Danio rerio: one gene and its partner. The protein of the gene in region 1 binds, or shares a complex with, the protein of each later gene. Links are inferred from orthologs where the notes say so. Each region holds a gene or a part of one and is shown in the gene's direction. Other genes may lie near its edges.

Region 1 (4,437 bases):
TAGCTTCGCGTCTCCTGGGATTTTGAGTGTGTGCATTTTTTTCTTTGCGAGAGCCAATCTCTCGTTACTCAACACCGCTCAAACTGCATTTATACGTCACCTGGATTACTGAACTCTGGCTTAGTGGAATCAATCTGCATGTGCTAAGATGTGTGCTAGTTGCTGAAGCATTTTAGGCTTAGTACCTCGTTGTACCTTTAGAAAACTGATCCGTAACATAGGTGCGTTGTTGTTTGTTTTTTTTATTATTAAATGTAAAAAATCTAAATCGTTCTGAATCACAGATTTGAAATACACATTGGTGCTCCCTAAAAGATTTTATTGATGAAGAGAATGTTTTCTTTTTGCTTCACTTTGACACTTTCTCCTCTGTCATTATATCAGTGATATAGACTTGGTGGTGTTTGGTAACTGGGAGACTTTACCTCTCTGGACTCTGGAGGAGGCTCTACGCAAGAGAAAAGTTGCAGATGAAAACTCTATTAAAGTCCTGGACAAAGCAACGGTAAGCACTGCTGTGTGTCATACATGTGTCTTGAGTGTATTTGTTGTCTGTCTGCATGTATTTAATGCTCTTTGTGTTTGTAGGTTCCCATTATTAAGTTGATGGACTCGCACACAGAGGTGAAAGTGGACATCAGCTTTAATGTACAGAGTGGTGTAAAAGCTGCAAACCTCATCAAGGACTACAAGCAGGTGAGTGTGGAGTTGTTTTTATTGTCTATTTCTCTGAGAGTCTCGAGGGAAATTGAATTTTTTTAGAAGGGATTATAGGCTGCATTTACACTGCAGATCTTGATGGTCAATTCCGATTTTGTGACAGTATCTGAAATATTTATTTTTTTTAATAACCCGATTGCATCATATCTTAAACGTGTCTTGTATCTGATTGTCTGCATTTACACAGTACACTGCAAAGGTGCAATGAGCAAGAAAAAAAGACAGAGCGCTGACTGACAGCTGATGATTAAAAAAAAAATCTTTACTCCATTTCTGTATTTAATCTGTTTGCAGGGTTAAATTTATTTAAATTTTTTTTTGATTTGTTATTTTACTATAGTTTATGGCAAAGTTCTCATTTGGCCATCTTCATTTAATCTAGACCTTTTAAACCTGTAGGCATCTTAATGTAATGTCCATGGTGTGATTTATGCATATGATATATGCAACAGTTTTGTAATAGTTTATATTGGTTATGTGGTGGATGTTGCACTCTCTCTCTTTCTCTTTAAACATGCTTAAATACTTGTGCAACATGACAATATCAAAGCTTTTTAGTCCTTGTGTATGAGATTTAAGGTGCAGGACTCTGTTGAAGTCTGTTTTGGAATGAAAACATTCCATTTTTTATGTCCTTCGCAAATTTTTTTTATTTTTTATGACGCGTGACTCTCATTGATAAGTGATAAATCGATCTACCTGCTTTTACTAGACACAAGGGCACAGATCCGATTCATATAAGATACATTTCCACAAATGAACAAGGCCTGAATCTGATTTGAGTAAGTCAGAATCCATGTGATTCTTTCCTGCTTACACGAACATGGGTCTTGTACGATCTGTGCCACATGGGGAAAAAAAATCTGAATTGAGTCTCTTGAGCCATGCAGTGTAAGTGCAGCCTCAAATGTAATTAGAATTTAAAATGGAGATGTTTAGATTTTAGAAGCTAATCTGAGCAAACTACACTTGATCTTCACCAGATCCTATAATAACACATTACAACTACACTATGCCTTTGAAGATTGAATGCTTTTTTTCACGTAATGGTATAACAGTGCACAAAAATGACATGATTTGCTGTTTTTGGTAAAGAGAATTAAACAGTGGTTTACTGAACAAAATTGGCTCTGTCTTTAAATATATTTAAATTTATATGACAAATTTGTTGGCTAAGTCTTTGGCTATTGCTTTAAACTAACTATGGAACCCTATTACTTTCGCACAAGGCAGTTCTACTTCTGATTATGAAACTGCTTGTACTGCAGTTTATTTTTTAAAAATATGACCGTCATGACAGTTTTATTTGAAACCACTAACAGTTAAAGTAAAATATAATCAATACATGGGCTAATGTAGTCCAAATATTTAGAGAAATGCTCTTCTCCAGACTTCATGGCTATCCTAAACTACATTTAATGTTGGGTGACATTGTTTATACGCGGTTTTATTGATTTCTTTCGACAATTGAAACACTGAAGACATGAGATTTCCTGATTAAAAATGGACAGAATTTTTGTTTTTATTATATCAACAAGATTAATTAATTATTTTTTTTTTTAACGAGATGAAGCTTCATGTGATTGTTGCAAAGGAAATGTTCTGTATAATGAAGAAGAGATCTTGAAATGGGACCAATTCAGGGAAATAAGAGTCAGTACTACAGATCTTAAAGTAAAGATGCATAAAATAAAGTTTCAGTTGAGCTCCTTCGGGTGCAGTGGTTAAAACAACATTGCATTTTTGTTTGGTACGTAAGCATATTGAAATGAAAGAGCACTTCGAATCTAAAAAAAGCAGTTCAATCTAAAACATCTGCCCCAAAGTGTTTTGTTTTTTAGTTCTTTGTAAATTGGTGTAAAAGCAACCATAAATTAATTCTCACTTGAGGCATGTAAAACAATTGCTCTGTGTTGCAGGTATAGTGTTAAAATGCAAGTAGGTTTTTAATTTCTTCTTTCTTGTGTTTTTTGTTTAGCAATATCCTGTGTTACCGTACCTGGTGCTGGTTTTAAAGCAGTTTTTACTGCAGAGAGAGCTGAATGAGGTTTTCACAGGAGGAATCGGATCATACAGTCTGTTTCTCATGGCTGTCAGCTTCCTACAGGTAAGACATTTACTTCGAATCACACACACTCGCTAGTACTCTTAAATAAATCCTACTTGGCTGCTTGCATTATGCACTGCACCCAGACAGTTGAGTGTGACATTATAACAAAGGATTTTCATTTGGAACAAATACTTGTTGAATGTTTGTTTAAGCTTAAATGGTGTTTATTTAAGCTTTTTATTCTTTAAAGAATCTTGTGGTTCTTAAATATGGTATCAAATTTGCATATGATAAGAATTTCTGAATAATAATATGGCACTGAAGATTGGAGAACTGGCTGTGGATAATTCAGATTTTCCATAAGTAAGTTAAATTAAAATAGGTGAAATCAATTAAAATAGAAACTAATTAATTTATTATTAAAAATTATAAGACTGTGCAAGTGAATAGGGTGAAAATAGCTAATAATAATAATAATAACCAAATAGTTTTAATATCTAATATTATGTTTATTGTTTTTATTCAAATTTGTCAGTGAGCTATTGTTTTAAATACATGCTGATTTACACACGTCTAGTACACACATTTGAACATTTGGATGAAGTCAGGTTTAAAATTCTTGTCATCTTTCAACATTTTACAGTCAAGGTTTTTTACAGTTTAATTTTTTGCAAAAGCCCAAAGAAAAAAATCAACTCTCACATCAGTTTGTGGAATAAAAAGTTGTATAGAAACAGACAAATTATGTATGCAAATTATGTAACACATCCCTTTGTAAAGCCTTGGTGAGCAGAAAAGCTTTAAATAGAGCTTTAAATTCATACTTCTCACACTCTGAAGAAGGATGTGATATTTTGTGAATATCAGATTGCAGAATCTTACATTTTGGCATACACCTCTGCAGATTTGTTTTATAGTTGAAAAATTACTCATTCAGTGATGATTGTTTTTATGCCCATATGCCAACAATCTAGTCAAATTACTGTTGCTGTTTTATTTGCCAGCTGCACTGTAGAGAGGACGTGAGCAGCTCAAACCCAAACTTGGGTGTACTGCTGATTGAGTTTTTTGAGCTCTATGGACGGCATTTTAACTACCTGAAGACAGGGATCAGAATCAAAGACGGAGGCTCATATGTGGCCAAAGATGAAGTGCAGAAAAGCATGCTGGATGGATACAGACCGTCTATGCTTTACATTGAAGATCCATTGCAGCCAGGTAAACGCACACTGACACACTTCAAACAGTCACCTGGGGTCTGTTCTTCGTACCTCGATTAAATGATCTAAGATGATTTTGGCAGATTCTGGATCTTTTAATCTTGATAACTGATTTCTAACTAATTTGGTTCTTCACACAAGTTTGAGAATCAGATTAAAATATCTGGATAAACTGATCTGAGATTGCTGCGATTGCAGATGTTAAGGACAGATCCATCAATCCTCGAAATTATGATCAGCAATGCATCGATTGGCTGATGGCACAGCAGCGTAATGTCATCATCTGAATAATATTCAATTATCCATGTGAGCAAAATTACATTAATTTAGCTGTAAACAGTTTGTTTAATATGACACGCAAATAACTTTCCACATTTGTTGTGAGCTGCAGGCTTTACACTTTTATGTGTCAAGTAATCATCATTTATTTCAATCCATATCAATGTA
Region 2 (5,113 bases), on another chromosome or scaffold:
GTGGGTAGTACAATCGCCTCACAGCAAGAAGGTCGCTGGTTCAAGCCTTGGCTGTGTCAGTTAGCATTTCTGTGTGGGGTTTGCATGCTCTCCCTGTATTCGCATGGGTTTCCTCCAAGTGCTCTGGTTTCCTCCACATTCCAAAGACATGCGGTATATAAATTAAATAATGTAAATTGGCTGTGGGCGAGGCAGTGGGGCAGTAGGTAGTGCTGTCGCCTCACAGCAAGAAGGTCGCTGGGTTGCTGGTTCGAACTTCGGCTCAGTCGGCGATTCTGTGTGGAGTTTGCATGTTCTCCCTGCCTTCGTGTGGGTTTCCTCCGGGTGCTCTCGTTTCCCCCACAGTCCAAAGACATGCGGTAGACTAAATTGTCCGTAGTGTATAAGTGTGTGTGTGTGAATGTGTGTGTGGATGTTTCCCAGAGATGGGTTGCGGCTGGAAGGGCATCCGCTGCGTAAAAACTTGCTGGATAAATTGGCGGTTCTTTCCGCTGTGGTGATCCCGGATTAATAAAGGGACTAAGTCGACAAGAAAATGAATGAATGAATAAATTGGCCGTAGTGTATGTGTGTGAATGCAAAAGTGTATGGGTGTTTCCCAGTGTTGGGTTAGGCTGGAAGGGCATCCGCTGCGCAAAACATATGCTGAATAAGTTGGTGGTTCAATCCACTGTGGCGACCCCAGATTAATAAAGGGAATAAGCCAAAAAGAAGATTAATAAATGAATGAAATTTCAATTAAACCACATACTTCTACAAGAAGTAACAATGTTGGCTTTTTATTTCAGATGTGAACTTAAAAGTTGGGAACATAGAGATGCATCAAATTAAATTTAATATATTTATTTTATATAGAAAGCAGAGTTTTGAATTATTGTTTTAAATAATTTGAAACAATAAAATGCTATAGAGGGTAAATCTATTTTACATAAATTACTTTTAAGGGTAAAACTCAGGTTAGTGTAATAAAAAAAGATCCTTACCTTTTAACTTTACTCCTTATTCCTTCACCTAAATGTGAGATGAAAGTTGAGGGGTTAAATTAAGTCTTTTGATATGTCATGAAATTATTGTTTGAAATATGTTTAAAAAGTTTTTTTTTTTTTTTTGTAACAGTGAAGGAGCTGAAAAAAAGTTACAATACACATAATATGTATTTTAATATATGAGCACTTGTTCTCATATTTCATATTTGTTAGGAAACAATGTTATGTTCTTATATTTTCTGGTCACATATTTATTTCTATTTCTATGTACATAATTATATCATTCTTGTTTTGTTTTTAAGAAGTTTTTTGTACTATATTGTCCATTGTTAAAAACCAATAGTGACAAAACATTATTATTATTAGGCTATTAATAGCAAAATAAGCTAAACGTGTATCAATGTTCATGACAATGAATCAAATTTAGTAAATTTTTTATCTACTCTGTAAAATTTTCTCATGCCTACAGTAGGTTACATTTCAGGGACCACTGGCTCTTATTCTATCTTGTATAAAAGAAAATACAAGTAAGAACAATTCATATTCCAAATGCTCTCCTATTAACACCACGATCAGACATAGTTGTAGTTTTTTAAAACAATCCTCATATTCAGAGTCACTAATTTTCGATGCTTGTGCTAAATTTAGTTCATTTTTCCCAGGGATGACGAATAGTTGGCCAACCATTTCATGTTCCTGTGGAGTCCGGAAGCCAGTAGTGTCCCGTGTTGCAAATCGGAATTTATAAACAGGTCAGATTTTTAATCAGTCTGGTAGTAAACCTGTTCAAACGTGCCATTTGATGTAGCTGAGGTTATAAATGTTTTTAAACGACGCCGTGTCCGTGTAGTAGTAATGCGACGCGTCTCAGCCGGCGTCCATGTGTACGTGAACACACGTGGGTCTCCGAGCAGCACTTCTAGCACTGAAGCTAACACATGCTTGTCAGATTCGTGTAAAATATATATCCGCGTACATTTAATGTTGTTGAAGGACAAGTGTTTTGTTGACTTGCTGGTTTTATGCAGATATTTAGTGTTGCGGATGGTCTGACGTTGTTGGTTTTTATTGGGTGCTTTAGCTTTTCAGTTAGCATAGTGTCAATTCACTGTGGTGTTGTTTATGTGTTAAATCAGATGAGTTTATGTTTTTTGGAATTGTTTTTATGGATTTGAGGACACAAATCTCTGTCTAGGACTAATGTGGTGTTGTCAAACAGTCTCCATTTCAACTACATGCTTTTGTGCAAATATGCAAACAAACAAACAGATAAAAATGTTATTGTTATACTAGTATGTCAAAATATTTGTCCTCGAATACTCGTAAAATAATCTGACAGTGACCAAACTAAACGTTATGTTTATGTCATATTACTTTGCTTTGTAAACAGAGATCATGTATGTTATGGCCACGTTATACATGTAAACATCACTTTCGAGGGACTGTAGTGTATGTACGTTATACTGTTTTAAATTGGTCTCATATAAGCTGTTCAAGTGTGTCACGAAAGCTCTAGAGCATTTGTTTGTAAGTTTGATTAGCATTTATGGTGGTTGAACATATTAAATAAAGTTAAGTAAATAATTAAGTTGGTTTTATATTTGCATATTCTGAAATTTTCCTTAATATAATTTCAGAAAAGTATTATTAAATTCTGAATAGGAAAATCAGATTAGCAGCCAATAACTTTTAAAATACATCATTGTTTACATTCAATTAAATAGTTTTCATGTTGTTTTAAAGTCATACTTGCATGCGATTTCAGATAGAATATTCAAAGTACTTAGCTGGGTAAACAATTAGGGGACAGTTATATAGAGTATATAAGTTATTATAACACATATTAATATGTGAATATAAAACCAACTTTACCTCAGTGTTGAACATATGATGAGAACAATATTGTGTATTGTTAATCTTTGTTTTTTTTATGTTTTTGGAGAGTAAGTAAAATACATTTGTGTTTAGTTCCTAGTCTTTTTTTTCTTTAGCTTTTATATATACTGCATAAAATAATTATAACAAATGTAGAGTTCCCAAATAAATCTGCAGATGTTTTTGTATCATGCAGACTATTTCAGCAAGATATAGTAAATATATGCATCATGCGTTATTTTTGTTGAATATTCTTACAGTGATTTTGTTTGTGATTATAACATGTCTCTTGACAAATTTTATTTATGTTTATTAATGTAATAATCATAATAAGATAATCAATTATCTTATAGGCTAATAAAAACTGTGAAGGTGCAAACATTGAGAAAACACAATGGTCAGCATAACAGCAGGTTGAAATGTAATACGGCCCCATTTGATTGGCCAAATTTGGATAAACAACTTATTTATGCAACACAAAATCTTGGCGCATATGCTATTATTTTGATAATGATAAATCTACAATATATTGGGCAGCCCTGTTGCTGAAAAAAGCTTGTAAGCTTTGTCATACTCTTAAGAGGACTAAAGTGAAAGCATTTAAGTGCTCACTGTAATTCATTACATAATACCATTACTTTAACTTGCTCTCGGAATGTGTTCATTAAAAATATATAAAGGTGTATTGTAGTTTCTTTTTATATGTTATTTCTACTTCTCACAATCATTTGTAATTACAGATTCAAGTAAAGAAAAAAATTTAAGCATTTGCGATTTTAAGGCTGTTGAGTTTACAGTGGGCTTTAAATGACGCGTGTATAGTGTGCAATGATGTGAAAATAGTTAATAATAAATCATGAATTGATTTAGGATTTAAAATGTTTTACTTTGCAAAAATTTTTAAATAAAACATTGTTATTAATATTATTTTTGAATAAGATAAAATATTAGTGGGCGGCGTGTGGGTTTCCTCTGGGTGCTCCGGTTTCCCTCACACAAGTTTAAAGACATGTGCTACTACAGGTGAATTGGGTAATCTAAATTGTTCATAGTGTGTGTGAATGAGTGTATGGGTGCTTCCTAGTGATGGGTTGCTGCTGGAAGGGCATCTGCTGCGTAAAACGTGCTGGATAAGTTTGTGGTTCATTCCGCTGTGACGACCCCTAATTAATAAAGGGACTAAGTAAAAAAAAAATGAATAAAATATCAGTCAGTCAATCAATAAGGAATAGATATTTATGCTTATTATTCTATTTAATATTAATTATAATTTATAAATGTTCAAAAAGCATCAAAACAATAAATATGCAGCAAAAACATTTTTGTTGCATTAAAATGTTTAATTTTTATCATACACATTTATTTTAATTTATACATTTATTTATTTGGCAAGTTTACAACAAGGAAACTGAATATTTAGCAACACAACAAATCACTAATTGAGAATTAAAGTGTATTCCCAAAATCCAAATTTAATTGTAATTTTCCAAACAGGTGTCATACATTCAAAAAAACACCAAAAAAAGAGGATTTTTGCTGCTTGTTCAAACTACTTATTTAAAATAAGATGAATAAACACAATTCTTATGGGGTACACCTAATTGTTTTATGTTCAGTTCATTTAAATTTGTAAAAATAATTAGGTTAACTTGCGGTTGGGATATTTTATTAGGAATTTTGTGGCAGTGGCGCCCAATATTTTAACAGTGTATCCCAGTTGTTAGCAAAATGTAAACACTAAAAAAAGTGTAAATGATGAACAATCAGAGCAAAGTTGAAATTAGATCAACAAAATGTCTATAATAATAATTACAGTAAACCTCATACTCTGTAAACAAAAAAATATAATAATAAAACCTGAGCTTTCAAGTAAAGTAACTAACCACCATTATTCAAATGCATATTGCAAAAATACCAATTGTGAAGTTGAATGACTACGATACCCCTATGCTAAAAAAAAATCTTTCAGATAGGGAGCTAGTGGCTGGGATGCACAAGATAAGAAATCAAAAAGCCACTCTGGCGACATCATTACATCTGTTTTTACTTACAATCTCCTCACTGTTGCTAGACACTTTTTGCACAATTTTTGTGTGTGTTGTTGTTGTGACCTGAGGTGGCGATGTCGTATTTGGGTTCACATATTGTGTCTAAAAGCATGTGAAAAGTGTGAGGCGCGTAGATTCCTTCACTATTTTTAATGCGATTTGCACTTGTGCTTCCCTGGCATCTCTCGATGACATTCTGGAAAA

The links. The genes of interacting proteins can lie anywhere in the genome.
Region 2: tent4b (region 1) and zcchc7 share a complex: the UniProt entries of both Homo sapiens proteins name them as parts of the nucleolar TRAMP-like complex. The link is inferred for Danio rerio from reciprocal best matches to the Homo sapiens genes TENT4B and ZCCHC7.

What each region holds. Positions count from the first base shown.
Region 1 is NC_133182.1:38,081,809-38,086,245, reverse strand, and holds part of tent4b (terminal nucleotidyltransferase 4B), read left to right. Parts: intron 1-384; coding exon 385-505; intron 506-588; coding exon 589-696; intron 697-2,698; coding exon 2,699-2,827; intron 2,828-3,774; coding exon 3,775-3,988; intron 3,989-4,437. UniProt on the Homo sapiens protein: Terminal nucleotidyltransferase that catalyzes preferentially the transfer of ATP and GTP on RNA 3' poly(A) tail creating a heterogeneous 3' poly(A) tail leading to mRNAs stabilization by protecting mRNAs from active deadenylation.
Region 2 is NC_133176.1:23,284,073-23,289,185, reverse strand, and holds the start of zcchc7 (zinc finger CCHC domain-containing protein 7), read left to right. Parts: upstream 1-1,880; 5' UTR 1,881-2,439; intron 2,440-5,113.